4 linked regions of the Drosophila melanogaster genome follow. The protein of the gene in region 3 interacts with the protein of the main gene of each other region in a pairwise test. Each region holds a gene or a part of one and is shown on either strand. Other genes may lie near its edges.

Region 1 (6,873 bases), on a different chromosome or scaffold from region 3:
ATAGAGATTGGTTAAACAGTGAAGTCTGCGTGATCTTCTGGTCCAGAATGGTGTGGCCTACATACTGAAAGTTAAAGACATAATAGGATTTTATATGATATTCAATACGGGTATACGGGTACTAAAGGTAACCTGTTAATACCAAGTAGTAACTCACATGCAAAACATGATCCTCATTCTTGGTGACCACGCCCACTTCGGATGTGGTGTCCTGCACCGTTTTAGGAGGTCGTTTTGAGTGCTGCTTCTTTATCAAATGCGGCAGAAATTCGCCCTTAAAGGTTGATATATTTTCCTTCTGCAAAGATTGAATATTAGAAAACAATTTACTATAAGGTCATATCAAAACTAACCCTTCGTAGATAATCGATAACCCATTTTTTCAGCACATAAACATGAGCATCCACCAGTCGGCTGTATACATCCAACCTTCCGCGGTTCTTGAGCAGATGTCGCTGGATGTTGAGTGTTTCCTCGCAGTCACTGGCGGCGGATACGAAAGCCAATCTCTGAGTGGCCGCATGGATGCCAATCAAATCCCTTTCCGGTTTGTGCTTGCTTTTGGGACCGGGCATAACAACGTCCGACTCAAATCCGCTGGGAAATAGGAGCATTGCAAGGGCGGCATCATGTTCCCGAAACTTGTTGATCAGCGGATATAGGCTGACATTGCTGACCAGGTCGCAGCTGACCACCAGAAAGTCCGACTTGATCTTATCGTATATGTAGCGCAGACTGTCGGCAGTTCCGAAATCCCCGTCACTAGGAATCGTGGCATAGTCCAGTCTCAGCTTTAAGGGAGTGTTTTCCAGAGCAGATTGGATCTCTAGTTTTTCTTGCTCCAGTACCACAACAATGACCTCTGAAATATTTTTCAATTAAATCCAGGTTTTTAATTCAGACTATCCGAATTACCTGTAAAGTTGTGTTGTTGCAGCAGATTTAAGGGATACCAAATCAGAGGATATGGACCCACCGGCAGCAGGCATTTGGGGGCATCCCCCAAGACCTCGGGTAGACGAGTGCCACGCCCAGCGGCAAAAACTACGGCCTGGAACTCGGTCATTGTTTCACAAAAATATAAATAATTTCGGCTAAAAAGCGTGCAAGCACAAAAAGAGCCACGCAAACAGCTGATCCAATGCAAGCGAAACACCTACGAGCGCTGTCCAACACTGCTTCCAATCAGACATATGTTTGCTGTCATGTGACTGTGCAATTGTTTTTGTTGCTTTTGCTATTGTATAAAACAAGTCAGATGACCCTTTTTGCAATGAAAATTCCCTTTTTCCACTTAATTATTACACAGAATGCACATCGTATGATACAACAAGACTTTAATGCATGATTTGCGCAGCTTACACTACACTACAAAAATGGAATACATACTTTTCTGCTTATTGGAATAGTCTACACACTTTTGCTACATAGGTACAATTAAGTTTGTGGCTTGCCCTTTGCGAATTACAATATGGAAACGGATACAGAACAGAAAATAGTTTAACAATAATATTGCTGGAATAAACACATCCAAGGTAATACTTAGAACAGCACGTCGTCATCGCCCTCATCCAGGATATTGGCCTGCTGGCGCACATCGATGCCCTGCTGCAGCAACTCCGCCTTCTTGGCGTCGGCCTTGATGCGTGCCTCGCGCTTCTTGTCCTGGATCTTCTTCAGTCGGTAGAACTCCTCACGCTCGAGCTCGTCCAGCTCCGAGATGATGTAGGCCAAAGTCCTATCGATTCGGGGGATGATCACATGCTCAATGGCGTTCACACGACGGTTGGTGATCTTGATCACCTCGTCCAGGGTGACGAATGAGGTCTGCAGCGAGGCCAGCTCCACGAGCAGTTTAACGGCGCTTTGGTAGTTCTTCTTCAGCTTGGCCAGCTGCTGACCACCACGGGCTAGACCGGCCAGTTCGTAGGTGTCGGATCCGTCCTGGTAGGACTCGAAAACGGGCAGAGTGACACCAGCCACGTTGTCCTTCTTGGTGCGGATCTTGATCTGGGCCTTGGTCACGTTTTGCAGCACCACTTGGTTGATGTCGCCAGACGTGAATTTGGCCTCCGCCAGCGAGAAGGCTGCCTCTTTCATAACATCACCCATCAGGGTCTTGGTCTCGATGATCTTGCCCAGAATCAAACGGAATCGCATCTGCAGGGCATCCGCCTTCTTCTTGAGCAGACCGTGACCTTTCTGGGCTCCAGCCAGACGGGCCTTCATCAACATCTGGGCACCACGGGACGGGAAAATCGGTAGCCTATCTTTTCCGGACATTTTGCTGTTTTTTTCGGATGGTAATTGGCTGGACTAAACAATTTTCAACTGCGTATCAAGAAAACTGCAACCGTCGCAGAACACTGAAAAACTCCAACTGGAAAATGACGGATGACAGTGTTGGCTACTGCCCGTAGCCAATCGATAACCAGTTGGTGCTGGGTAGTGCGCTTAGATACAGTACTGCAAAATACGCAGCCACAGCTGATTTTGCATTTAAAAGTAAACAAATCTAATAAATTCCATTTCTTTATTGGATTTATAATGCTTCTGCAACGCGTGTGGTTGACACATTTAAACAACCATCTACGCCAATACGCGAACAAGTCGCGAGCCCACATCAAACCAGCCATGGCCGTGAGCATGCGGATGGTCCATCAGGAGATCCTGCATTATGTAAACCCCTTTGCCAGGATCAACGTGAAGTCCGATGTTTTCCTGCGCATCCAGCCCGCGGATGTGCATCAGTATACCAGCGGGGATGTGTTTATCGCCCAACTGGTTGGCGGCCATGTCAAGAACTCGAATGTCTCTCTCGATGTGAAGGTAACCGATGAGGACAAGGTGGTCAATGTGGTGGTTAAACAACTGGCGGAGCAGCCCTCAAAGCTTGAATGCCATCTGCAAATACCTGTGCGTTCCGATGTCTCTGTGGACGCAAAAGGTAGTGTGCGAGTGGAAGGCATACAGAGTGAACTGCTGCAAGTCAAAGCAAAGGAAGGCATCCTTACCAAAAATATCAAGGCCACCCATATAAACTTGTACAGTGAAAATGGCAACATCAATTGCCAGGGCACATTGCTGGGCAAGATTACCCAAATAGAGTCACAAAATGGGGTGAGAAAAAATTTACTATCAATCTGATCTTATTATTAACCTTTATATTTCTTTTTTAGAACATTGCGATGGATAAGTTGCAAGGAGACAGCTTGAATTGTTCCACCAAAGCTGGCAGTATTGTAACCGATTGTTGTTATGTGGAAAAGTCAAAGTTTCAGACACAAACTGGGCGTCTGGAGCTCAAGAATGTCCACAAAAGCAGCGAAGTGCACGTCCATCAGTCGTCGGATCTCAATATGAGTATGCGAAACAACGAAGAATAACACCATCATGCTAAAAACTTTCAATTTCAGCTGGAGTACATGGCAATATTCAAATAACTACCAAAGGAGGAAATTTAAATGTCCAACTCTCTGAGCTAGTGGGGAGCAACAAAATCGACGCCGAGAACTTATTAGAAGAGGCTATCATACACATTTCCCAAGCCATAGAGCAGAATCTTCACATCGAGGTAACAGCCCCCGAAGTGAAATTGGAAAACGAACTGGAGCATGTAGCCCATGCTCTCAACGAGAGCAAGAACAAATTCGTGCTAAGCAATCCAAATACAAATCGACTGGAAGTAAGCAGCACAGGCGACAAGGGCGTGCGCCTGGGAAAACAGTCATGGAGCGATATGATGCGTAATAAGTTGAAGGCTACCGGCACCTTGGACGATTTACCTTAGGTAAAGACAGAGACTAACTAAGTTAAGAATATATTGTGCTGCAAGCTACAATCTCAGTCATTTTTGCTTTATCCATCATGGAGGCATGTTGTTTAGGCTTGGCCCGACTCCTTAGCCACTTTATCCTTTAAGCATTCAAGTGCCCTTGAGAAAATGGCTTCTTCCTTTCCGGCTTTGAGTGCAGACACAAACAGTTGCACCTTTTCATCGCCAATCTCTTGGAGATCCGAGTTTTCCGCTTTTATCACCATACATGCCAACAGGCGCAGCAACTTCAAGGCGTTCTCCACATACTGCTCCTTTGGAGCGTCATCCTCCTCCTCTTCGTCCTCTTCGAACTCATTGGCGTCGGGATCACTTCCCCCCGTGTAGTTGTCAATGTGCTGTTTAAGTCTATACCACAATTCCAAAAGATTTAAGAAGGCCTCCTTGTGATAGAAGTACTTCAGGCGCTGCAAAAATAAATATTTAAATAGAACGTCGAATATTAAGTATCTTTTCCAAACTTACACTCCAAATGTGCGCCAGATCCTCGAGATACTCCTCCTGGCGTTCGCCTAATGGAATGAGTTGCAGAGGCTGCTGCAAAAACTGCAGTATTCGCGCTAGACAACTGACTATACTGGGTGCATACACATCCATGGAGGCCTGCGCCTCTGGCAGTTGGACCAGAATGGTGCATATATTGAGGTAGGTTTGTATGATCTCCACATCACAGGTTATTTTTGGTCCGCACGAGTCGTAACCGACGTCGGCATCTTCATCACTGTCGTGGGCCGCTGGCACTTCTGCATCTTCGTTGTCCTCGCCAGCTTCCTCGTCGGTCAATTTTGTCTGATCATCGCGCATGAGTCGCAAAAACGCGCTATTGACCCCCTCGCAGAGTTCTGGCACTAGAAAGACCTCCGCAAAAGGCTTTAGATTCAACGTGGAGTTTGCGTTTTCCTCCTCCACCAAGGCGCAACTGGCCAGCACAGCATTTGTGGCCTTCAGTGCAGCTACTAGCAGTTCATCGCTAACGGACAGTTGCAATATCCTGCCCAGGTTCTGCGCGGAGTTCTCAAAGGCAGCAAAGCAGATGTACCAGTTCACAGCGAACTTCTCCTTGCCGCTAAGCACATGGGCCATGATGTACTGAAAGAGTCGCATCAGCTGTATCAACATGGCGGTGTCCATGCAGTATGTCATCTTGAACAGGGTTTCCAACGTGTAGCGGTCACAGGCCAATATCTCTGCGCACTCCACCTGGGCGCACATATTGCCCAGCAGTCCGATAAGAATCTCGTAGAGCCGCACATCTTCACAGCCCGCCACCAGGGTGTACATGATCGGATCAATGGCTCCGTTCTCCAGCAGCAGTGTGACCACTTCGGGGGACACCGACATGTCCCACACTTTGCACAGGTCATCCTCCAGCTGCTGATCCAGTGTTGAATGCCGCAGTAATTCTCCCACCCTCATCACCGTTTTCAGGATGAATCGACTGCTGTACATGGTGTTGCCGACTGCATCGCCGCGCATACGCTCCAGCAGCTCCGCCTCCTCGGCGTCTTCCTGGGCGGGTGGGGGCGTGGTCGAGGCGCTACTGGCGCTGGCAGAGGCGGAGGCGTATGCGTCGCTTTCCTTGTGATTCGAGTTTTCCGCGGATGGCACATCGTTTTGCTTGGCGGCCACCGCAAGACCACTCGCCGATGGCTCCGCTTCTTCCTTGGGCATTTCGATCTGGATCCGGGTCTGGGCAAACTGTTTAACGGGTTCGTTTGGCAGAATGCAGAATGGCAGTGGTACTAATCAATATATTTTGGACAAGATCTTTTTTTTTAGACGCTGTCAGTGGGTCCGTTGGTTCTTTCATAAAAAATACCTTAAGCTTTGGAAAAGTCAGTTCGGAAAAGCTCGGTATCTAAATCACTTTTACATAAGCAGGTCACACTTTCTCGCACTTCGGTGGGTTGATCGTTTAAATATATTGCTCAAATGTGTGATACTTCTGAACTGGGAAAGTTAGTCAGCTGGTTAACAATATCAGTTTACAACTTAAAACAACCAAAACTACCTTTAACTTCTTTGAAAGCAACCAAAAGTGTGGATTTCATTAGTTAGTGAAGGTGCAAACCTAATCATCACCACACGTTGTGGAATCCAATGGAATCCACAAGGAAATTTAAAACATTGGCGCCTACACTTATTAAATATCGTATTATTAGTATGTTTGTTACTAAATTCAAAAATTCCAACAGCAACGTTGCTATAATATTATTCTTTTAATATTATATCTAAATTCGAAAATTCCAATAAAAGATAACATTATTTTATAACCATAACTTTCTATTAATAAATGACTTAGATGTAATGCTAACAATGAAAGGTAATCACAGTTTATGAGGTTTTTGGTTTTCCCTTGAGCAGCAAACTAGACAGATTGCTGTAGGGCAGCTCAAAAGCCAGCGAAAAGGCGATGGAGGCCAGATAAACGATCATCGTAAACCCGCAGCAGATGACGCTCTAAAGAAACAACTCAATATTATTAAAAAGCAAAATCAAATGAGAATGCAACTTACCAGCAGAAAGGGATCAACTGCAGAGCTCGTACTGGTCAGACTGTAAACGAGGGCAATCACCAGGGGATTTAATAGATATATGGCGTAGGACAGGCGGTTCAAATGCTGAAAGAACTTGGCCTCCAGCAGGCGTGACCACCAAACGCCAGTACCCGATGCACTGCCCACGATCATCCAGCAAATGGTGAGGGAAAACAGAGCGCGACCCAGAACAAATAGCGATATGGTGATAAGGTAACCCAGATCCCGCTTCACCGTAGAGTAGATGCAGCCCACGAACACCTTGAGACTGAAATGCCACCACCGGCATATCCGGCGTTCACTCAGCTCACTCACTTGGAATCGCTGCTCCTGGTAATACCATGCGGCTATGGCTCCCACGATATAGGGCAAAACTCTTACAAAGGGACTCGTGTATATCTGAGTGCCAGTCGCATAGGTGGAGTCGAAGGAGAACTCGAACTTCTTGGCGATTCCAATGCCGTAGGACCACGTTATCGTGCCCATTAGTCCAGTGAGTGT
Region 2 (8,475 bases), about 19 Mb from region 3:
GTAAATTCGATTTATTGTGTTATTAATTTAATCAAATAAATAAAATACATATTAAAACTCATTCTTATGTGCATATTTGATTTTACTGGCTACTTGATTGAATTTTCCATAATTCCATAATCCACAAAAAAAACACATTCACTCATACAAACAAAATGCATTCACATATTAACAAACACCATACACTAGTCGAGATTCCTTAGCAAGAAAGTTATGGCTTCAAATTTGCCTTTATCCATGAGAAAAATGCTCCAGTCTTTGTGTAAACACCTGGTTTTCTATCTCCGCAATTCTCACTTCCATATGAAACGATACCGGCCAGATATACGATATCCTGGTAATCATTATTAAGGGTTAACATCAAGGGACCTCCGGAATCACCCTCACAGGAGTCTTCTCCTCGAATGCCAGAAGCACAGATTTGTGATTCGTTGCGGAAGAACGATATCTTGTCTTGGCAATAATATCTGTTTTCATAAACGGTGTTATGCAACAACACCTGACTATATTCTCTGTTTTTCGTGTAGCCCCAACCGGCGATTTGCAATGGGTGATTATGCAAGGGGATGGGATCTTTCGGCACACAAATCGGTAGAATTTCGTGGGTATATCTAAGGAAATAAAAACTTTGGTTCATAATAGTCAGAAAATGATGCCTTATATTGCAATACTCACCGAACTGGCGTTTGAAGACGCACCAAGGCGATATCGCTTTCAAACCTTGAGGTGTTGAAATATTGTTCGTGGACATTGAAATACTCGATGCCGATCTCTACAAAGGGGGCAGCGCAGTTTCCTGTAAAGTCGCAATCCGGATTGGTGGTAATATCATGCTCGCCCAGCCGCACTCTCCTGAGCACCAAATCTGTGTTCACCATTTTATCCTTGACCACACAGTGTGCAGCGGTGAGGACGTAGCGTTTGTTAATCAGGGAGCCACTACAGTTGTTGGTCATGGTCGATAGTCTGCGATTCTCGTAGATAAGCATGGCCATCCAAGGATATTCATTTGGCCTCGCCGCTGTGCCATATGCCATTCGATAAAGAGGCGGAGCTTGTCCACAGGACGTTGGTAGAACGTTACCTGGTTCCGGGCAGCAGATGTAGTGGCGCTTATCCGAATCTATTCTTCTGGTATCGATGGCACACTGTCTGTTATCCATTAAATTGGCCCCATCTTCCATCGTAGTATTATGGATACGAAGACACTTGTCCAATCTTATGCATTTTTCATCGGCTGGACAATCTGGAAATTCTATAACTATTTCGATTAGTAAGTGGTTAAATGATAGACTTTTGTTTTGCACTTACCCTGCTTAGGACAGCAGTAGGTATTAATGCCGCATTGCCTGCTCATTAATATGTTCTGGGCCTTTTTCCGTTTAAGCTTTAGAAAAGGGCAGCTATCGCGGCTTCTACATATCTCATCGTATTGGCAAGGAAAAATCTCTGTAAGGGCTAAGAATTAGTAATCGATAGATCGGGTATTATACGAAAAGCATTACCTTGTCTTTGACAGTTTACGTAGACCCTTCTTCGTACCAATGGCTGGAAGTGATCGATATAACATATTTTATTTATTATGGATTTCAAAATATCACTCGTCCATTTCCGGCCATTAAACTGGGGACAGTCATTGAGCATGACGCATTGTTCATTGGATCTTCTTTCATAGCCTGGTAAAGTTCGAAATTAGAAAATAATGGCAAAAGACTTCGATTTGGTCAGCCATTTACCTTCTTTTCGGCAGCAGTAGCTATTATAACCACATTGTTTGTCCCGCAATATTGCTTCTCTGGCCCAACTTATATCCGCCGATTGCAGAAAGTATTTCAAGGGTGGGCATGCTTTAAGGTGTGTACAGTCCTCATTGACATCACACTTTTTCCATGAATTGTAAACCTGCAACTGAACTGAACAAAATATGATCCGTGAAATACATACGTGTACAGAATATAAAAAAAATGGCTATTTGTGCGACTTTGTGTTTCTTGCCACGCACATTTTGAACTTCATTGAACTCTTAAAATGATTATGATAATGATAATGATGACTGAAAAGCAAATTATTTCAACACTATTATTAATTATTCGTACCACGCCCAAATGACAGCGACAGTAGAAACCCTTGTATAAGAAAGCAAACAGATACTTCGACCATGTCAATATGTGGACGTTCAAACTTCGACTGTTCTTAGGATGAAAGTTTGACCATTAGCCAAAATGTATCATATTATAAATTCTGGGAAATATAGCTGGGTATATCCGTATATCCATTAGTCATATGAAATATCTAGAACTGGACTGGAATGGCAAGTTATTTCGATAATTTGAAATACATAAATTTTCACTAAGTGTGTGTTAATAATATATGGTCAATTATCACTCTGAATTATTAATAAGCAAATAGCCAAATTGTATTGGAAAGCAATATGATGACTTAATTTAAAAACTTTTCACTTTTTATGTACGCAACTTATAAGTATGCGTATGATCTAAGAGCAGTGCCGGATTGAACTAACTCGGATTTCAGACGCTGTCTGCTTACGAACCCCTGATCGCTGAGAAAGAGTAAAAAAATTATTCGAAAACTTAGGATTTAAGAGTGTGAGACTATGTCACTGTTTGTATTTATTATTTCAAATCCGTCGGTTATCTATCCATAAAGTAATTATACATAAATCAAAACCAAGATGTTATTTTCTTATATATATTTTGCTTTATTTTTGTTTGCCGTAATTTATTATAATTTCTTATCGAAAATGGATTGTTCCTACGCTACGGATGACTACTAATAATATTTTATTGTATTTGTTTTACGATTTGTTTACAATTTGTATAATAATATTTAAGATCCCACACATAGAGGGCGAGTTTCAAGACGTATGGAAAGCATAGTCAACAGATGGCGCTCTAAAATCTTTATTTGGATAGCCGGCAACGTCACAATTTTTTTTCAAAATATCTGGCGGTTGAATGAAACTTTTATTAATTAAGGCATTTTACCTGCGAAACGTTAAGAATATATGTATACATAAATAAAAAAAATTAAATTATATATGACCACATTAAGGTAATGTTTTAATTTCTTTTTATAGTTGCCCATTCACGTTTGCGCTTTTGTTTTTCTGATACAAGGGATATGCGTGAAAAGTCCGCACTAGTTTCACAGCTTTTAACTGACGCAATTTCAACGAAATTTAGTGCATGATCTTATCAGACGTACATAGTATGTGCGTGTCTATTTTTACCAAGGTAACATCTGAACTGGAGGTTGTTTTTTTGCCATCAGTCAGCAGCTTGGCAATCAAGACTGCGACACATCACTTTCCAATTAGAGCAATTAAGATCGAAGTTCTCCAATTGCACCTGTTGTTCAGTTTGTCTGTTGCCTGGTGGCAATGTGCTTTTGCATGTCGTGCTTTCCATTCATAAAATCGAGCTGCATGCGGCAACGGTGCGTATGAATTACGTCAGCCAATGGATGTTTGTGGGTTTGTGGAGCATTCGCCATTGAGAGTGGAGATGCGTAACTTCCCGTCTCCTCTCTGCGCGTTGAGAGCGCTTCAGAAGGTGTAGAGACAGAAAGAGAGAGAGAGAGAGTGGGGCAGCATCAAGGAGCTTCAATATCAAAACTACACCGTACAAAAATAATAAGTAAGTCTATTTAGTTTTATTTTATTAGTTTTATTTAACCAAAAAAAAAATCGTGCGCAATTACTTTTAATTTACATTGGTATTCAAAAAATATATACACATTATGCTCTTAAATTACATATGAATATTAGAAAATGTCAACATTTTCTTCAGTGTTATTTGTTGAACATCAATGTCCTTTGTGTTCTTCAAATATTAAATACTTATCGTTAATAATATATGTATGTATATACATACGTACATATTTATGTATGTATGTACTTTTGCCAGGACTGGTTTGTAAAGAAATCAGTAATTATTTTACCGTTTATGCTCGCTCAGCGAAATTCGCTGAAGAGTTGAAGATGGGGTGGGGAAGCGACGAACGGGAAGCTTGGAGCATTATTTGAGAGCGAAAAAACGGCGCAATTCTCGCACTTACATTGGAACCGTCGGTGGGGACGGTCGCACTGCTTCATCAGTCAGTCCGAAAGAGACACCGCGATAGTGTGCAAGTGAAAAGGCGCTTGTGTTATTGTTATTGTTTTCATTACAAGGCGCGCAACCGAGTGCGAAATGCTAGTGTTGTCGTTGCCCCGCTGAATGGCGCAACGGAATGAAAAAAGTGATAAAACCAGAAAACAAATCGAGTCAACAAAAGCGGAGTACAGTGCAAGAAACAGAAATTGATAAGCATAAAATTAATGAACCCTCGTAAACGCCACCGTTGCACTTTCGGAAGCGGTATTAAATGGACAGGTGGGCAATTGTGCATCAAATTGTTGCACTTGGAGAGATCGGATGTACGTGTGTACATACATAGCTGCTATGTAAGCTCATATGTGTGTCAGTGTGCCAAGTTGGGAGCTTTCAGTGTCAACACGTGCATATACTATCTCATTCGCTCCTATTTACCTTGCTGTTTATTTACAACACTTTGTTGCTGTAATTACTCTGCCTTATCGGTGTGTGTGTATGTGTGTTGTTGTTTCCTGCACTCCGTTATAATTCGCTCACTCTCTCGCTCTCGGCCTGTTCTCTCTTACTCACACCCTCATCCTCCCTCTCATTTAATTCAAAACGTATTTGAATTTATTTTCGTCTTTGCTTACTTTTCTTGTATTTACATTAAATACCTCAATTTATTGCCCAGTCACTGTGCATGCAATCCGTTGATGCAAATCACCAGAGCCTGAAAATGGTGAAAATGCATTTAGAAATCAGCAAAACAAGTGAAATTGCTACTCATATAAACATATCATTAAAGAAATGCCAATTTTAAACTGGCTTATGATATGAAAGTACCCTATACCCTATACTATTAATGCTAGTTAACTCTATCAGTAAGACTTCTAGTCTCAGTATTTGGCACGTACCTTGAACACCCGAAATTCGATGAATATTTCGAATTTCGGGTGTTTAGATTGCATTATTCATTCCGAAATTATTTAACTTTAATAGCATGCCTTTTTAGTTTTCCGCTTTGGTATACGTATTGTACGACGTGTAAATTCAATGAAATGAATGTGTTTACAAAAATAAAAATAAAAACTAAAGTAAATAAATGCAAAAAAAAAGGGGACTAAGTACAGCAAATATTGATTAAAACTGAACGTATTTACACTCAATCATTTACTTCTTCATCTTAGAGCACACTTCCTCTCAAATGCTGATTCTGATTGCTAAATATATCTTTGAATGCATGCAGCAAACATCATCATTAAAGTTAAATATAAGCTGTGTGCTTAAAAATAGTTTGTAGTTTTGAATAAACAAGACAAATCTGCGAATAAGAGAGCCACACGTGTATGTCCACCTAGCCAACAGGATTGGATAGTAAAATGCGCAAAAGAAAGTATTAAGAGGTCGGTTTTACGCGGTATCTTATTTTTGTGATTCTTCAAATTAGGCCAGATGTGTTAATTGATATATGCTGAAAAGTTGTTTACCTTTCAAGGCTTTTGTTCAACCGGACTGTCTGGCAAACTCTTTAATCTGCCGGTTGGCTGTAGCTCGCTCACACGTCTAATCTTCTCTATCGAGGGGGTGCCATACCGTACAGCCCCTTATCAGAGGCCTTTCGTCTCGAAACCCAAGTCGGAATGAACTCTTATCATTTTAGCAAAAAGTATATGGCGATAGCAAACGCCAACGCGCGATTGTAAATTACACACTCAAGTTTTTTCAGTCTGCTTGGTTATTTATCAATAAAATGTAGTCTAGGCCCTTGTCGAATAAATTTGATAATTTTCAGAGGGGCAAAAAGCAACAGATGGAGAATTATTAGCCACGTTTAGCGCACAATAAAATAAAATATATTTTTAATTGTTTAATTAGAAGTGTTAAGCCAAGTAGCCGGGTTTATTATTTTGTTTTCAAGTGCCTGTATGTATATGAATTCTATCAGGCACCAAAGTAAATTAATACTCAGAAGGCTTGTGTGTTTAATTTGATGTTAAAAGAGTTATAGATAATAATACGTAAGTAGTGTATGTAATTAATAAAATGACTAAGGATTTTTTATGAGAGTTTTTTTTAGAGGATTGAAAGCAATATGGAATTCAATAAAGAAATAAGTTTAAGGCGTCTGAATTTAAGTAACACTTATCTGGCTTAAAGAAACAAACGATGAAGACATGATAACATATTTAGAGGGCGTGTTATTAAGTAACATGCAGTTGTTTTGAATTAAGGCCGACTATTAAGAACTTTAGATCACCTAATTCAGTCCATTTAACACCCTGTCAATCTCAATTGTGATTATTCGCCGGGTGATGAAAGCTAAATGAGCGAATCACATATGAGATAAGCGAGACAAAAATTTAGTCAGCTGCACGTAAATTCCCATCCAAAAGTGCTAAGCCCTGATCCAAAAACGCCAGCTTTGCCCATCTGGATGGAGAATTCGTGTACGTGCATGTGTGTGTGTGTGAGTTCGTGTGCTTTGTTGATTTCGACGAATTTCAGTCTGCCGCCACCATGATACACTTTTATGCCCCCCTAAAAAACGTACACTCGTATGTTATGTACATTCTTCATACATACATCTACATGTGATATCAATGGGCTTAAGGCGTTCTATGTACATACATAGCTAACGGAGCCCAGAATTTGTGTGTGCTCTGCGCCTGTTACCCGAAGCAAACAAAAAAAAAATGTAACTTGCCCTCTTTCTGGGGAACTGCAGACCAACTACTATCCCACACTCATACACGACCGATAGGAACTATAGATTGCTGTATAAACAATTTTTGAGAAAAATTTGCTAACCTTGAACCGTTGGCAAAAAACTTTCACAATGAAAAAAGTTCAGTATCAAGGACCCAGAAATGTGTAGCGAGTCGATTTCGGAGCGTTTTTCATATGGCAAACGAGCAGTGGCCAACGCTGCGTATACGTAACCAAGTTGTGTGGTGCAAAGAAAAGTCTCATGTGAACGTGTGTGTGTGTGTGTGTGCTTGTGCTTTTGAGGATGTTAAATATCGTAAGCATCTACATATGTATATGTATGTGTGCATGGGGATGTGCGTTTAAGGTTTTTGAACTTGTTTTCGGTAATTTTCCACCATCCAGCCTGTTTTTGGGTCAATTTATTTATGCTAAAATATATCGAAACCCGAAGAAGAAGATAAAATGATTAAAAATACACCAGCAAATATAAAAATCCAACAAAAAATACTGGTATTTAGAAACAGCGTATGAAAACAGAAAGCTCACAACTACTTAGAAATTCCTTCGGCATTTCGGAAAGGCGGCAATCAAAACAAAGTGTGCAAAATGTTTAAGTTTATTCATATATGTACCTAATACATATGCATGAGTATAAGTGCTACACGCGAAATAAAATAGCTAAAAATACAAACAAATATGCGCACGAGAGTACAAATGTACATATATACATTGTTACGCTGATATATCGAGCATGCCTCGTTAATGGGAGCCATCACGATACCGTGGTATGGCAGCCAGGGCCCTACACAGATAAAAATTCCGAAGTCCACATATTTTAAAAAATATTAAAAATGCAGAAAATATTTAAACAAAAATAATGTGTTTGACAACAAAATTTTTTGAAGCGCGATTGATTGTTTTAGATTTATTTATTTGGTTTCCAAAATATGACATACAACATTTTAACGATATACATTTTCGTTTGTGTACACTGATGCAAGCATAAAAATCAAGTATACGTACCGTCGGCCATTTGAAAATATTTCTACTTATGTATAAACAGCGTAGTTAGCAAAGCGAGAAGATTGGTCACACATATTTAATAAAAGGCTATGCCGCTTTCCCCTCTCCCCTCTTTGAACTTGCGAAAGTAAAACTTAAATGGAAATTGTATTCAACGTGAAGAACTATAGATGCTCTTCTGAGAATAATGATACGTTAAGACGACGGGTAATGAACTCAGAAAGAAAATAGTGCTAAGCAGATAGCAAATTATCTTGGACACGACCATTCTTCAATCCATTTTAAAAGATTAGGTCTCTTGGTGCAAACGCGTTAAATGGCTTTATATATAAATAAAAATAAAAACAGATAGAAATACTTTGCGATAATATCGTAAAGTGCACTTGGATCTAGACTTTGGACGCGGGGGAAATGCTTCCAAGCTTAATATAAATAAAAAGTGATCTTTATTTTGCAATAATACAATCATGGAAGGGCTATAAATCAAGTAATAATCTTATCAAAATGAGTCGCAGCTTGTTGGCTTTCATCTAATCGGTGTAATAGTTAGTTACAATTGGGTGTTAAAAACAGTTGCCTGTTACTAAGCAGACATGATTTATTCTTTGGCATTAGGAAAATGCGGGAAAACAACAATATTAAGCAT
Region 3 (8,023 bases):
AAAGTATCGTATTAATGAGACTCTTTGGTGAGACGCCAAAGAGCAAGTAGCTGACGAAAGAACTTTGGGGAGGGGCTGGTGCGTCAGTTATAGAATACTGAGCTAATACGACCATATTGCACTTCTTCTTAAATTTCACAAATTTAAATAGGCACATAATTCTCTTTCCCAAATAACCCTCCACCTCCAGAATTTTCTTTAATAAGGCTCTTAATAAAATGGAAAATTCTTCCCTATGCGTTGCATATTGGATAAGATTGAAAAGTCCGTAATAGAATATTTGGTGCGTTTGGCACACGTACTCCATCGCGGAGTATTCTTTCGCCCACTTTCCGGTGGTCCGTGCTCGGCGAACTCATTATCATTCTTCCCGGTCGCAGGAATCTCATTGTTTATGCCCAACCAATTTTCTTCGCCCATTAAGAATTTTCCCATTACTCATACGCAGCGTGCGCACATTTCCCATCCTCGCGTGCCGCCGCCCTTCCGGCGGGCGAAAATCAATGGGACTCGTTAGTGCAGCAGCTCTGCGCTTGCAGTTTCCGCTTCCCAGTTTCCTCGACTGCCTGACAGCCGCGCGTCTCCGCCATCAGCCGTCAACGAGCTCGCGAATTGCAAAAATGTTTTAATGCGCTTATTGACAGCCGCTGATAATGGCCAACCATTTTAAACACTTCAGCTTAAAGTCGCAACCCAAGACGCGTCCTGGTAGATAGGTGACTGAAGAGGCATTGTCCTCGCAGTTCAATCAGTCGTCCTGTGCACTTTGCACCTGTCTGCCTTCCCTTCGCCCAGTGGCCCTCAAGAACAGGCGGTCTTCGGCGGTGTTTGTTGGTTTGTTGGTTTGCTGGTTTGCTGGTTTGCTGGCGGTTTGTTCAGGACTTCAAGCGGACGTGACGACAGTTTCTCTTACTCGGGGCGATGATGATGATGTTTGTCCTGCCGGAAACCGAAGGGATTAATCTTTTAATAGGAACTCGATTTAAGTAACTGCGCGCTCAACGGATGTAATCATTGGGACACTTAAGCTGAAACAACTGTGCAGGTATATAACTGTCTAGACAGGGCTATAGGCGCTGCCTATTGTTTAAAATGCTGTCTTGGAGTTACATTGAAATGTCTTCAGATTGTGAAGCTCAGTTTTTCACAAAGTCACTCTTTAATTGAGGCTTAATTGACCACAAATTCCATGTTATTAATCGGGTTAATTGAGAACTATTTCCCAGTGAAGTGTGCACTTCAAAGTCCGTGGAAAGCCACAACTAATAACCCCGCATACTCGTATAGCAACCACACAGAAAAATCACTTTCTTTTCCGAGCTGCTTTTCCCAGAAACATAACAAGGTGAAGGGATGACAAGCTAGGGAATTGTTTCCAATGAACAGCAGGGCTCTTTTCAGAGAACTTGACTTACGAAGAAATAATTTCTATGCTCGGAATGTCACAATGCGTATAAAGGGAATTAAAATAACTAGTTCGATGCGGTCTGAAAAGTAATATGGTGCACTATTCAGTTAATGGAATATTGTGGGCTGTTAGGTAAAAACAAATTAATGGCTTGTAAAGAGGGGATCTAAATTGTGCTCCCTTCCTTACTATATTATAATTTTGAAATTTCTCTCTAATGACATATTAACTTAACCACAAAAGATGTAGCCCAATACAACTTTCGCTGGGCACTTCTTCTCCAACTATTGTGTGCCCCTTTTCAAAGCCGATTTGTGCTAGAGAGTATTTTTAGGTCGAACCCCTTGAAGGGAAGCACCCTCCACTTGCCTGATGTGCTCGGGAATTGTGCTAGTCCGCAAGTCGCACCACACTCGACATTAGCAGCATGTGACTCCATGTTGACAGTGGTTTTCATGTCGTGTATCTTTATGTCTATTTACTTGTACGGCCAAGTATCTTTGTATCTCGCCGTGCGGGCTGCTACGCTACGGCTACGGTTCAACAGTTTACTGCCGCTTCTGCTGCTTGACCCGCTAAGGCCAGATTACGTGATTTGTCCCGTGCCCGCCGGAAGCACATCCGTGCAGGAGCTCCGGGCGGACCGAGGGCCACCCTTTTGGGGTCGGATGGAGATGGATGCATCCACGCAGCGATAAGCGGAGCAAGATTTCAAAGGGCATACAAATTTAAATCACGTCACTTAGGACGGGCGATTGGAAGGGGGAACCAGGCTGGCGACATCACAAAGAAGCAGCTACAAGTCCGGACATAATGGGTGCCATGTAAATAGTTTGCCCCGACAGAGGCACACGGTTTTGCCCGATTTCCGGGTGCGGATTCGAGTCCGTGCACTCAGGAAAACGATTTGGAGGATTCCCATTTTAAGTTTGGAAAGCAAAAATGATAAAAAGCCTTTGGGACATTTAATAGAAAAGAGCACAACTGCTTAAAAAAGCATATACTCCTTTTGTGCGTTTTCACGTCTTTAACTAGATGGGCAGTTCGGATTCTTTGAAATTTTGATTACGAGTTATTAGCAGATCACACTGTTTCGTCACATCGTTCGCTTACTAAAACTGATTACACTGTAAAATTATTCGTATTCTTTTATTAAACCAAATTCATTTCCTTAAGTAAAATTTCGAGCAGTGTAAGTTTGGTTGGTTTGGGTAACAATAAGGTTTATGGCTCTGTACAGGGTACCACAAAACATTACCAATTATTATATTTCAGAGTAAATATTTGAGTATTGATAATAATATGAATAACATGAATTTTCCTTCGAGTGCGCCTTGCCTTGTGGCTGCATGTTGGTCCGTGTGAGTTTGTTAAGCTGCTTTTGAGGCAGGCACTCAGGCACAGGCCGACCACACACAGGAGCATCCGGAGTCCCGTGGTCCCATAGTCCCATAGTCCCGTAGTCCGGACTGCAGAGCCCATAGTCACAGGACGAATTCACGTGTGCGTTTGTCTCCGCTCCTTTGCGAGTGTGAGTGTGTGAGTGCGAGTACGAGTGTGTGTGTGTGTGTGTGTGGGTGCAGGACGACGGACATGTTGCTGAGGCGCGGCCAATGCTTGTTACGCTTTTGAGCCCCCGCCTGCGGTTGACAGAGCACGTTGAACCACCCACTCCGCTTGGTTCGAGCCGTGCACTTAGCCATCCGCCACCCACCACCAGCCACCCTCCGCCCATCGAGCCATCGTGAAAGCATCCAAACAGGCAGCTTTTCTGCGGCCTGATTCACATTAAAACGCAATTAAAGTTGCAGGCGTTAATTGTGCCGCCTGTGTTGCCTTTTTTTTAACCTTTTCAGCTTTTTGCCGTTCGCTGGTTGTCTTTTTGAGTTAGCTGCCGAAAATTAATTACTTTTGCCCTGTCAAAGTTTCCAAAGTCATTGGAAAGGGGGGAAGCGCAGATATTACGCGAGAAATATAAAATACTCGGCAACTATGAGTAGGTGTGTTCTGGAAATCTATTTACCTAATAAATTGTTGATCTTTGAGAGAGATTCATTTCAGAATTATGAATTATTTGTCCTGTATTCGTAAGCTAAAAACATGAATCCGATTATAAAGCCTTTTTTCTTATAAATCTTAAAACAATTCTACAGAACTTAAATATTCAGTGCCTTCATTCCGTGAAACGACACACATAAAAACATGGCTTTCCTAAATTTAAAATAGATTTTAATGGAAGTTCCACTGTTTGTTTGTAAATGGGAATGCTCGCATGTGAATGTCTCTTAATGAATCAAGTCCATGAATAAAGCCGCAAGTGGGGCTTTTTTCGACTTTTGCTGTGGCATAGCACTATGCGGTGGGCCGGAAGTAAGTGGGCGTGGCAGAAGTCGTTTGGTGCTAATGGGGAGCCGGACACACACAGATATGCACAGATATACAATGATATACAATCGTTCGCTGAGTTTTTCTCGTGCCGTTTCTTTAGCCAGATGTGTAGTAAAATCCTTTGGCTGGCAACTTTATCCTTCGGCGCGGATTCCCAGAAGCAGCTGTTGTTCTTCTTCCCCTTCACTGACGTTGCATTCTGAAAGCGCTGTTTATATCACAGCTTTTCTTATTCCTTTTCATTGTGCCGCCCGTTTTTCGCTTTTGCAACCGTCGGGTGGCTGGCTTAAGCGCCAGTTGCCGGCGACGTGCCGCTGAAATAATTAAGTTGCCAATCCCGGCAGGCTGAATATCAACAGACATCCAGAAAAAGCCAAGATAGAGATGCAACTGGCAATGGAAAGGGTTGCAGGCTTAAACTTAGGTTCATAGATTTTCAATTAGCCTGTCAGGATGAAAGCAGCAGGCGTGGATTTTGTTGTGCTCGATTTTTTTTTTATTTTTTTTTTCTCTTTTTATTTACAATCTGTCTTAAAAAAGTATGACAATAAGTAAATTTTATAATTAATCTTAATTTAACAGAGGCAGTAGTTATCCATTATCGATTTTTAAAATTTATTTAAAACGTTGTTTGGCAAATTGTTTAAAGTCAAAGGTGAGAGATGAGCCACTCCGTATTTGCAATCATCATCAGTGCTATTCCGCAAAGCTCGGACGGCCTTAAAATTGGGCTTTATCCTCGCCTTGGCAACATGTCGCATGCGTATTATCCAGAAATAGCCTCAAGTGCCTGCACCACAAATAGAAAACAAACAGCCAGCCTGCCCACACGCACACTCCCCAGCAAATAGACAGCTTGTCAAACTTTTCGGTTAGAAGGAAATGCGAAACATTCCTCGAATATTACGCATACGCACGGCTGGCGGCCACAACACCGCAACTAAGGCGTTTTCTGTGCATAAGATGTCGCCGGGCAAAGGAAAAGTGAAAACTGCTGCAATTTCCACCACCATTCCGCCCAGTTCACATTCTTTTGACAAGAGCCGTTGGCCTTGTCTCTCGACGAGATGCTTGATCATTAGCATCACAGTCGTAGTGGAGTCGCAGCAAATTGCTATGCTATGCAGTGCGCACTTGGCGAAATGCATTCATGATTTTAGACCATTTTTCCAAAGTGCTCAAATACCGTCAAATATCTTAGGATATCATTTAGATTTCTTTCGAACTTTACTTTAATTTCCGGTCATCCGCCAAATTTTCGGTCATCCGTAAAGTGAATGCCTGACATCCGAATATTTTTTTCCGTGTGGAACGTGCTGCCAATTTACGATTCAGACGGCGCTGCGCCGCCCGAAAAGGAACCCCAAACGATGCAACTGGGTCGGCCGGGTGCAATGCAACTCGTACTCGCACAAAGGAAACAAAGGCACTAAGTTGCGGCGACATGTAGCGCTTTAAGCTGTGGAGAGCGAGCGAGGCCAATGAATACCAAATGAATCGATAGTGCGAAATCGAACTCCGGGGGCAGCGTCAGCAGGGCTGGCATTTTTCTGCTCGGTCGAGCCAGGGTGCGGAAAAGCAATTTCGGTCTGAGCCACCTCAAGTAGCTGCCGCTTTCCCGCCTTTCCAGCCTTTCGTGCTTTCCACTAGGCCAAACGATTTGAAAATTTTACGAACGCACCACTGCGCATTGCTCACAACCAATCGAGGGCATTAGCTGGGCAAAAAATACAAGACATCTTAACCAAACACGGAGCAAATGTTCAATTTCCAAGTCAATCAACTAGAAAAAGTTGCACTCACTCGCTGCGGAAATCTTTTGCGTATAGGTTTCCGGCATGGAATGCTGGATTCTGGGCCCAAAGTTCTTGCAACTCGGAATTAAGCGATTAGATGGAAGTTTGCCACCCAGTTGGCACGCTTAAATTATTCCAAGTTTCCGCTTCTGTCGCCAGCAGATACGCACACTGAAAAAAACTGGGACTCCCACAACTATATAGAATAGGACATAGTATGTATTTGCTTGGCTCTACTTCCAACATGTGTTTAAAATTTTTCAAAAATATTTTGTTCAATTGACATATGTATGTATATTCATTACCAATATAACAATTTACCATTGCTGTGTAGCACACATCAGTTGCACAATGGACGCGCATTCCACAGCCGTCGCAGGCATAGATATGGAACTGGACTTCGGCGAGGACATGGATGAGCACGGAGAATTGGAGAAAGTGGGTCAGCCTGAGAATTTGGTAGCGATGGTGCTGCGCCTGCAGGCGAACCACGTGTGGATCCGGGAGCAGCTGACTCACCTACAGCGCCGCCTGGTGACCCTTCGGCTGGACAAGCAAAGAAGCTTATACGAGGGAAAGGAGCGGTTACAGCGACTCCTGCTGAGCTTGCAGGTGAAACACGGACGCCACTGGGCACTGTAGGGGAATCGATGGACGATGGAGCTCGGAATTCAGGTGACGAAAGTGTAAAAGTACAAGCGAACTATCTTGGTGAAAGATGATGTAATGATGTTCTCAACTTCGTATTAAATATAGTGGTTTTAGAAAGCTTAATCATAAAAGCCTCATTAATGTTAAATTAAGAACGAAAATTACTGAGAAATAGTTTCATAAAGTTTGCAAAGTAAACGATGGTTATGTCCAGTCTTTCTTTTGTATAAATATTATACCGTATATATTATATTGATTTCAGACATAAGTTTAATACGCAGTGAAAAAGACTTTGCCGACCATATATATTTTACTATAAAGTACATATTCTTGATCAGTAATAATATCCTAGTCGATAGAGTCATGTTCATATGGCATGAATCTTTCCCACAACTTCTATTTTTGCTGCTGGTGGTAAATAAGGCTAAGTTGGACCATAATATCACAAGCAGCCACAGGAATAATCGAAAAGTGAAATCATATAGTTTTGATTCGTTACACACTAGTATTTTAACAAATATTTAATTACTGCAAAGGCTTGGCTTATTAAGAGTATTAAGAAGTTTTACACGGCACTTCCACGAGTCCTTTCAATTATCCAACCTGATGACAGCCTGATGACAGTCCCAGCCGAACAGGAAGGCCAGATTTGTGGCCCACACAATCATAATTGTTGAACAGACTTGTGCGTTCGGATGTAAACCAAGTGCCGTACTTAGGCACTTAATTCATGCGACTAACACACGCCACACAATGCACATTGCCCGACAACAAATAGCCCAAAACCCTGGTGACATGGCAATCAAAGTTCGCCTTGCAGTGCGCCGCTCTGCGTAACTCAATTAACCAGACACCAAGCAGCGGAGGTCGAGTGCATCACTTAACTCGAGATTAACCCTTGACTGCCGCTGTCCGCGTCCTGTCCCCTCCAATGACGTGCGGCGCCTGGGATGGAACCTACTCGCTCCTCGTCGCATCAGCCACTTACACGGGCCCATTGCTGTTTAGCAACTATTTATGGAGACAAGTAGTTGCCACTTGCCACCTACATGCTCTACAGTACACAGAGAGAAACTGGGATCGATAGCAGCAGATGCCAACCTAAATGGAAAATCTTCGGCAGTTGTCTGTACAACTGTTTCCGAATTAATGACCACTATATGAGTGGTTTTTCCCAGTGTATCTACGACCGAACGGCAACTGCAACGGCCCACTGTCGCCGCATTGTAATGATATGCCTTCCGGCCTGCTGTTTCTGTTCTACACAGTTCTGTTCAGTTGAGTTCAGTTCTGTTATGTCCTAGCCTCGAGGGTCCTTGCCTGTGGATGACACCTAGCGTGTTATCATTAAACACTTGGAGTGTGAACCGAGCGGGGTCGAAAGGGGGAACTTGGACCCGGTCGGACAACTGACATCACTTGAGTGGACCATAAACGGCAACAAATGCAAATGCAAATGAAATTATTGCCGCCGCAGCTCCATTTCTCTGAATGACCAACGACCCCGACGCCGCGCCGGAAAACTGTTTGCATATGCAGGCGCACGCCCACAGATAGGCCACGCCCCGTTACAACGAAACCGCCCCCACCGCCCACCGGAAGCGCCCTTCAAACGGGCGGCACGAACCATAAAGCCATTGGCGACCGACTGCATTTCAGCGATATAAATATTTATATAAGTTAATCGGTTTATGGTGCACGAGTAATTGAATTTCGCGACGGCGCCAGGTAAATGCAACCAGGTAGCATGTAACTCGGACTCCCCATCCCTAAATCGGGT
Region 4 (8,516 bases), about 21 Mb from region 3:
TGTTTACTTTCAATGAACCTTTAGTTTTAGGAATGACCCATATACGATTTCAAAAACTTACCACAGACTTGTTAATACAAAGTATCTTTTGGATACAAATGCATCTCAGCAGTACAAAAGTATCTTTCAGCTAATAAGTTACATAACTTTCGCTCAGTGTACCTACTCCTTTTGCTTCTGTTACTACTTTTGATTTTGCTGGTGGTGCTGCTTGTATGGTTGTTGCTGCCCTGCAGCGACCGCAACGCCTCCTGCCGCAACTTTTGCTGCCACACTATAAATATAACATTAATTTTTATGTTTTCATATTTAGCAACGCTTCGCTGGGCAGACAAACACACACACACATAGTCGAATACCCCGAAGCAGTAGCGCCCATAAAGATATGGCCATTGAATGACGTTTATGAGCGATAACGCTGACGTCGCCGCTGCGCAACACTCACTGTTAAGCGGTTAGCAGTGGCTTAACAGCGCTTTTCCAGCAGCATCCACAACTGTTTCGTTTGGTGGGAAAACCTCTGCTAATGCGCCGCGGTCGCTGCGACTGCGACGCCGGCTGTGGCAGAGGCTGCTGCGTCGGCGACTTCTATTGTCATTTGGCACATGTGAAATTTACCGTTACTTCTTCGCTCATTCATTCGCTGTTTACATTCGGATTCGAAGACTTTTTCCAATCGCGCGCGACTTTCGAAAATATATTCCATTTGAATTTTCGATAACATCCGCGCCACTGTTACTTCCATACGATCATAGAAAAATATATTTGCTTGTTAAAATTTTCACAAAGTATTTAAAAAGTGAGAATATATGTAAAAATGTTGAAAAACTATTTCTAAAATTCTTATCTAAGAAAAAAAGCATGTAAAAAGAAACGCGTGGAAAACTTTTCGTTTCTACCTAATGCGTTTGACGTTTTTTTAATCAAACTCACTGCACTATGTTAATTAGCCAAATATGGTAATAGGTAATTAAAGCAACCCCCTATGGGGTGATGTGATTGGAAATGGTAAAGAGACAGACACTTCATATCCACTACACAAAAAAAACCAACGACGAACTTTCAGAACCGCGTCGATAGTCGAGTGGATCGGAACCAACAAAGTGTTAAGAAATAAAATAATGAAGATACAATGCATAATATGAACTGTGAAGTGCAAGGACCACACAAAGTGTTCATAACGCAAACAAAATAATAATCAGTGTATATCAGTGCAAACAATACTAACGAATTCCCTGGAAAATCGCAGCAAAGTTCAATTAGACCTACCACAAATGAGGTGTAGACGCCACCGAGTTGAGATCTTCAGACATTGTCTATACGTAGACCAAATCGAGACTTTTGCCATAACAACAGCAAACATTGGGTCATGTAATTCCCAACTGCTCGTATAATGCCCTGGTGTTGAAAGTGTAGAAAGGGCGTATGGAATTTGGGCTTAATTTGATAAAGACTTAAGTCAGAATTTCCGCTTTGGAATTACTCGATCAATGCACTTAAAATATTAATTTAGTTCAAGTGGAACTACAGTCTTACCTAATTATCATGAATTTTCAATAAATACGACAACTTTTATGATCGTTTATTTCTAAAACTAATTAGTTTTTTATGTTGCGATGGTTATTAATATTTCTGCTCGCTTAATTCGATTTTTTTAAAATATTTCTTATATTTAAATTATATAGCCAAGGGACTCCTGTTTCGGTATCCGAAAATAGCGATTACAGTCAGGCCACTTAAAGATTAAAGAACACTGATCATTATCTGGCCAAGCGATAGTTGATAGATGGGCTGGCCCTTCACGCCTGCCAAAACCACAATAGACACATATGTATGTATTGGTGTATATATATATGTACATATGTTTTCCTAAACTCACACTCGACAAAACTTGAACACACGGCACGGGGCTGCAGGGCGATAAAATGCAGTGTCAATTGAAGTGCTTGATTAGGCGATTTGCGAGCGATTCGCCAGCGATTTCCAACGCCTGCAATTAGAGACGGCGGCGCACTGCAAAATATACAGAATGGTTGGCAGGGGCGTTGGTTTGGTGGGGGTTTTCCGACGGCTCTGTCATTCACAAGCATCGCGGGGTGGTGCTTGAAAAATGATTTACACGCGCAAATCATAAATTATGCCCATTTCAAGTGGACCGTTACGCCGGAGAATCCATGACAAATGCAGATGACGCCCAAGCACCGATGACGATGGTGATTGCAATGCAATCTAATGGCTGATATGATGGTGATTGTGATTGCGGGTTTGATTGAGATTTCCATTGGTACTGGGATGCTGCTAGTGCCGATAATTGTTTTGAAGATGACGCATTTTAAATGACTGACCCTAACCGAACCCATTGTCCGCTGGCTGCGATTTTTCACCGCCTCTTATCATCGACGTCAGTCAACGCAACTCTAACCAAGCCAAAAGCCAATGAAATCAAATCCACGACACTCCAGTTCAATTTCGAATTTCACACCACTTTCAATCGGACCCACACCTGGTTTGATTGAAAGCGGCGACACTTTCAATGCTAATGAGCTGCGATTCCGTTTACCAATCGCCGAAAGGCATTTCAGTTCGCATCGGTCTTCGCTGGGCATCACACCGTAAAACCTTCCGGGTCCCAAAAAAAAATCAAAAGAATTAAGTATATTCAAAATACCTATTTGATACCTGGATATAGTTTCGGTGGGCCCATGCAGAACGTCACGACTGTCGTACGATTATCGGCACAATTCTCACGTCCGGTTGTCCAGCTTAATTAAAAAATATCTTTGTTTTTCGCACTGATAAACGCGGTGGCAACGCAAAAAGGAAGTCTAGATACATACAGTCTGAAAAACGTATTTTCGTACAGTACGATGTTTAAAAGTGATCTCTGTGTGCTGATTGTGATCTCCTTGGCGTTTTCCTTACATTCAGGTTGGTACTGTAGAAAATAGGATTTTTTCCGAGGTCTGAAACTGCTCTTAATTCGGAGCCCTTAACCACTTATTTTTAATTAGACTTTAATATCAGATTGAATAATTGGCTGACCAATTACATGTACATCTAAGTACACTTTGTGCGATTACCCTATATAACCTTTGTTGGTTCGCAAACATCATTCTCAAGTTAGCACTTGAGTCCTTCTTTTTCTTTCTCAGGGGATATTTGCCCAACTTGAGTATAAAATAACAAAACGTATTTTTAAATTAAAGTGGATTCTTGGCATTACGACAAGATAATTATCACTACTTATTCAATATATTTCCACGGAATTCTGTCTAGTTGTGAAATCAGTCGCAATATTCCGAAAGTAGTATGATCCCTTATCATAAAAAATACTTTAATTTCTAAGGCGTAGGTTTATAACTTAAGAAATGATTGATCGATTCTTAATAGCTGGGATTCGTTAGCATGTTGCTTTTGTTTTTTAAATAAATTATCTCAGTTGAAGAAGCATTTAAAATTCTTGTAGTTTTTAAACAATGCTTCTGTAATAGTTGTATCTATAGATCGCCCAACGATTCCTTGCCCAATCTATCCATTCACATCAACGTACGCTCCATTGATCACTGATCAACTGGTTTGCCTTAAGAGCACCTTGTACGTTAGTAATCTTTTGGGGAGCTAAGAGTGGAATACAGCATCGATTAAATTCAGAGAGTGCTCCGATCTGCCAGATCACTCTTTATGTATCTCTTCGACGGGGTCTGGTCAGTTTCTTGTCAGTTTTGATAAGGCCACCTTAAGACGGTGCAAAAACAAGCACAATCGCAAACGACAGTTACTCTCGGCTCTCGAATTAAAATCGCTGGCGATTCGCTTAAATTTGCAGGCCAATTCTCTAAGCGAATTCAGTTGAAAAAGGCGCGTTGTGCGAAACGGGCATCACAGTTTTTTGCGGTTTATTTTCAACTTAAAAACCAAATAAAAAACACAAAAGAAACAAACAAAGCGAAATAAAAACAAACCTCATGTAATTCAAACATTCTACAGATTTAAATGCAATGATCTGTTTCTGAAATAAATTTGGAAAGACGCGATTAGCACGTGCCGCACATTCGCAGACACCTTGAAAATACCGCAAAAATAAATCAAAATAAAAGGCAAAACTGATAAGAGTTTATTTATCCGGGCGATTTGACGCGTGCTAGCTACAAATATCGGCAACAACAATATTTAATTAATTTATTTGCGCGATCGGAGGGGGCGTGGCCGTCCGCTCAACTAAATTTTAAATTATACTTCGGCTTTATTAATTGCCAACGTCAACAGAAACGTTTTTGTTTCTCTATAAAAATTAAGGGAAAACTTGTTTTTCTTGCTAATATACAATTATTATCAAATATTTTACTTATCGTTTATAATTTCCATATTTTACTCAAAATAAATGTTATTTCTCGTTAAGTACATATATAATTATTTTCAAAGTTTAATATATAAATGAATTTTCTGTGTAATTTTATGCGTTGCTTTTTTTCTCTCTTCGCATTTTTCGGTGATTTTGTTGTTGTCCGATATTTTTGCTTAAATTTTTTTTTTTCGGCCTTTTCGGTTTTTGTATTTTTTTTTAGCTACGTCGCGTTTTTGTGTGTCGCACGATTTTCAACCAGTTTCTTCAGTCTTCTCATCTCGAAATAAGAAATGTGAAGAGAGACGAAAGTAAAAGAGAATTGGCCGGATCGTGTGTTTATTTTATTTTTTGGCTGGCAAGCGATTCTTCCAATGTTTTTGCGTTAATGCTTGCGTTTATTTTTACGTTGACGCTGGTTCTTTTGGCCATTTCTCTGATTAGATAATCTCTGGCGAAGATCTCACGCTTCCTGCTTAGATAATCTATTCAACCAGGGTCACCAGAAATCACCCCACTTAATTTTCCCCTATCGAATACAGTGTCTATACAAACCTTGTAAGATCGAAGTGATAAAAGTGTGAAAAAAGCATTAAACAGACAGCATAAATTAAAGCAAAAGAAGAGTGAAGGCAAGCAAAATACCGTACCATGGCCATAGAGTCACGCTCTACGAGCACTGCAAGTGAAACCACAAAAACCGCCATAAAATCAACCACAAGCTCAAAATCTCCAGTAACATTCGGTAATCTCGGCGAGAAAAGACGCGCCGAACAGCTGTTCCGCTGCGCATGCGCCAACTTCAATCTCCTGCTCCTGACTTTAATGCTCGGATTCGGCAAATGCTGCACTGCCACGCCCACGCCGCTGAACACGCCCTCAACGAACACGCCCACCTCGGCAGTTAGCCCACATAATCCACAAACGCTGGACGAGAGCGGATCGCTGAGCAAGGTGATCGATGGCAAAGCCTTCATCAACATGGGATTCAAGTTCCTCAACGTTTCCGGAAAGATTGGCACACCCCTCGGCATAGGTGAGAAATGCATTGGCTGATTGAAAAAACCGGCGAAAATAGCGAAAAACCAGAAAAAAAGATCGCACAAGGGGGGGCACAAAGTGCGATGTTTGTTTATAGCCTAGCTTGTGCTAATTTTAGACCACAGATGTCGTCGAGGTTGAAGTCGAAAATGAAGTTTGGATACCCTGGCTTGGGGTATATATAAAATGATTCATTTAATCTTTTCAACTTGATGCCTATTTACAAATATGTAAAATGAAAAAAAATTTGTATTAATAACTGCGTTGTAGAACAAAGTAAAGTACTTAGCTTGAGCTGATAACTTAAAATTAAAGCGCGTGCAATCGAATTACAATTTAATCGTTAAAGAATTATCAACCAATGCTAAGAAGCTTTTCATTAAACTTTATTAAGCTGATAGTGTTTGAGTATTTAGTTATTAAATTATCCCCAAGCCATTGAGCAATGTAAACGATTATTTCAAAATATTACATTATCTTCGCAACTCCAAGCAATCCTCTTTGAATGGAAAGTAAGCAGTTTTGACTTATATGAGTCAATAATAACATTTAAGATATATGGCCTTTCCATTATACTGCTTAATTTATAATCATCACAATCTTGGTCACAAGGGTATCACCTGCATGTCGAGTCATTCAAATGGCTTTGCTCACTTCACACTTCGTGCACTTAAAATGGGCTCAGTTAAAAAGATACAGATACAAGCACTAATGCAGTTGCAGATACAGATACAAAAGTGCACCTTCCACTTGTTGCACACACACAGACGGTATGCGGACCTACTGTTACCGTGGTATCGAAATAGCCGAGAATTTTTTATCCACTTCCGCATTGATTTCCGCCTGGCTGACCATCGAGAATCTGTATCTTCTAATGGCTAAGCGATAGGAAAAGCGTTTGGCGTCTATCTGTGACGTTATTTTGTGGCGCGGGGCATTCCAATCATAAATCTAACTTTAAATCTAGCCACCTGTTTTGGCCAATATGGATTTACGTTTAGTGCTAGCCCCGAACTGGGGATTATCTTATCGGTCAATTTTACGATTTGTTTTTATGCATTTTTCGACCGCCGGGATTTCGCGACTTGAAGATAAGTGGACAATAAAGGGCAGTCAGACAATAGAAATTTCCTTCTATAAATCAAGAATTAATGGATTGATAGTGCAAGGAGCTTTGAATTGGTGCCATAAGTCATTCAAATGATCTTGAAAACATATAGATAAAAGAATATGAAGTGTGAAAACTACGATTGTTATAAATTAATATTTAATTTTTAAGACGTATTAGAGCAGTTATCCTAACCAAAATAATTTATTTTTATTGTTCACACATTTTGGTTTGAAACTATTTTTAAATAGCTAAATTTTTTAAGCAGTTCGCACTTTTGAAAATCAATCAACATATTGAGTGCCAAAAAATAGTCTTAAGGCTAAATCTGCCACATTTACTTGCATTTTTGTACTTTGCTCTTGGGAATCTTGGACTTTGCTCTATATATTATAAATTGTTGACAAAAAAAAACACACATTTTCTTAAACATCTCACAAAAAAACAAGGCGCATTTCAGAGATATTTGTATCAGAAATTGACGTAGTTCAGAAAATCGGTGCGCCATCCTACTGCGATGCCTAATTTAAATTTAAATATAATTTTTTTTTTTTTGGCTTTTCAGTATGCAGTGTACTAGGAAAATTCACATAAATATAGACCGAGTCGAGCCCCCAATTCTCAGTCGATTTGCGTTGTAATGCTGCCCATCAAGGGGCATTATCTCTTTGATATTCTCTTTTTCCCTGCTGACTTATTGTTAATTCCATTTGATTTTTCACGCTTGAAAGTTGCTGTCAGATAAATTAACATATGCTTGATATGATATATGTACATATGTATGTTTGTTTGTGCATATGTATATGTTCGCATCTATATGCGATGTGGCAAGGTCGCCGAAGAGAGGCAGAAGTTGATTCAATTTTTATTCGTACGCCCCATTTCGATTCAGTTTTTAATTTATTCGCTGTGCCAACAGATTTCTCTAGCATATAGAACTAGCTGGTGCCAGAACCGATGGCAAACAAACAATAACAAATTAATAGTGGGCGTGCTCATCTTACGTAGAGAGAATGTTGATGCAGTTTAATTGTTTTGTTTGCTTACTGTAAACATGTTTTGATTGATTCAACTATTCTTGGGAAATTGTTGATGCATCAAATCATTCTCTATACGGGCCGCATCCCCCAGGAATCACGTGTTTTGTCATTCCATGTATAACATTAAATTCATTCAGGCAATTATCAATTATCAGGTAATCCATTAACCTTGATTTTGACGCAATCGGGGCGCTGAGTTTATCAAAGGCTGTGCTCCCAGTTGAATTAATATTAATTAGTGTTAAATCGGGGAAAAAGAAAATAATGAACTGATTTCGTTTTTTTCCCAGCAATTAACACCTTGCTCAACCAATATAGTCATATCAGTTTTTCCCACAGTTATGATTACTTCTTAGTCTAATATGACCATGTGATAAGGGCTTATCAGCAATTTTTTGGCACGCTGTGTCTATTGCTTTTTATTTTTGTTTTTGTTATATACTAAAAAATAATCGTATGATGATGACAACTTGCAGTTTCTGATTTTCGAGCGGCGAAGTGAAGTTTATTGGGTTAAGCCAACCGGATTGTGTGTGGACTTGTTTTCGCCTCTACGATTAACAAAATCATTAGCTATGCTAAGCAGTTTGCCTATCGATATGGTTTATTTATTCATAGTCTCGTATTGTGTGTGAAGTTTGGCCGAAGTTGGCGGCAGACAGGCTGTTGTTGCCCATAATGGTGATATTGATCTGGTTTTTCGATCTGTGGGGTGTGTCCGCCTCATTACGGAAACTCGGTAATCAATAACCACCGACTGGTTCAATTTAGTCAAACTCAATAGGTTTAGATTGTGACAAGAAAGCAAAGGAACTTAATTGATAGGTGGCAACCGGCTGGAAAATCTATTAGTGGGTTAATTGATGTGCAAACTGACGGTTTAAATCACTTTTCAAGGATGTTTTCTGAATTCATCTTGAGTTTTCTAGCAAAGTTTAGCAAAATTCTTCCAAGAAAAACCCTTATCAATCTCAAGCTATGCTAA

What was found.
Region 1: the proteins of CG12589 (region 3) and Vha36-1 interact in a two-hybrid assay, tested with the Drosophila melanogaster proteins (one large-scale study listed by BioGRID).
Region 2: the proteins of CG12589 (region 3) and CG10365 interact in a two-hybrid assay, tested with the Drosophila melanogaster proteins (one large-scale study listed by BioGRID).
Region 4: the proteins of CG12589 (region 3) and LpR1 interact in a two-hybrid assay, tested with the Drosophila melanogaster proteins (one large-scale study listed by BioGRID).

Annotation. Positions count from the first base shown.
Region 1 is NT_033778.4:15,536,947-15,543,819, reverse strand, and holds Vha36-1 (vacuolar H[+] ATPase 36kD subunit 1), read right to left. Parts: upstream 2,386-6,873; 5' UTR 2,284-2,385; coding exon 1,543-2,283; 3' UTR 1,322-1,542; downstream 1-1,321. Other genes in the region: eIF2Bgamma (eukaryotic translation initiation factor 2B subunit gamma), read right to left, coding at 1-64, 158-298, 354-862, 916-1,066; CG8187 (uncharacterized protein), read left to right, coding at 2,548-3,120, 3,180-3,363, 3,417-3,790; CG30467 (uncharacterized protein), read right to left, coding at 3,883-4,242, 4,301-5,506; CG30471 (uncharacterized protein), read right to left, coding at 6,170-6,295, 6,352-6,873. UniProt on the Drosophila melanogaster protein: Subunit of the V1 complex of vacuolar(H+)-ATPase (V-ATPase), a multisubunit enzyme composed of a peripheral complex (V1) that hydrolyzes ATP and a membrane integral complex (V0) that translocates protons.
Region 2 is NT_033777.3:23,719,265-23,727,739, forward strand, and holds the start of CG10365 (uncharacterized protein), read left to right. Parts: upstream 1-4,066; 5' UTR 4,067-4,394; exon of another isoform or gene 4,395-4,465; intron 4,466-8,475. Other genes in the region: CG10232 (uncharacterized protein), read right to left, coding at 212-611, 676-1,255, 1,312-1,449, 1,506-1,676, 1,737-1,913, 2,097-2,160.
Region 3 is NT_033777.3:5,135,398-5,143,420, reverse strand, and holds CG12589 (uncharacterized protein), read left to right. Parts: upstream 1-4,431; 5' UTR 4,432-5,807; intron 5,808-5,847; exon of another isoform or gene 5,848-5,926; 5' UTR 5,927-5,943; coding exon 5,944-6,234; 3' UTR 6,235-6,364; downstream 6,365-8,023.
Region 4 is NT_033777.3:25,755,654-25,764,169, reverse strand, and holds the start of LpR1 (lipophorin receptor 1), read left to right. Parts: upstream 1-3,847; 5' UTR 3,848-3,967; intron 3,968-4,884; 5' UTR 4,885-4,993; coding exon 4,994-5,378; intron 5,379-8,516.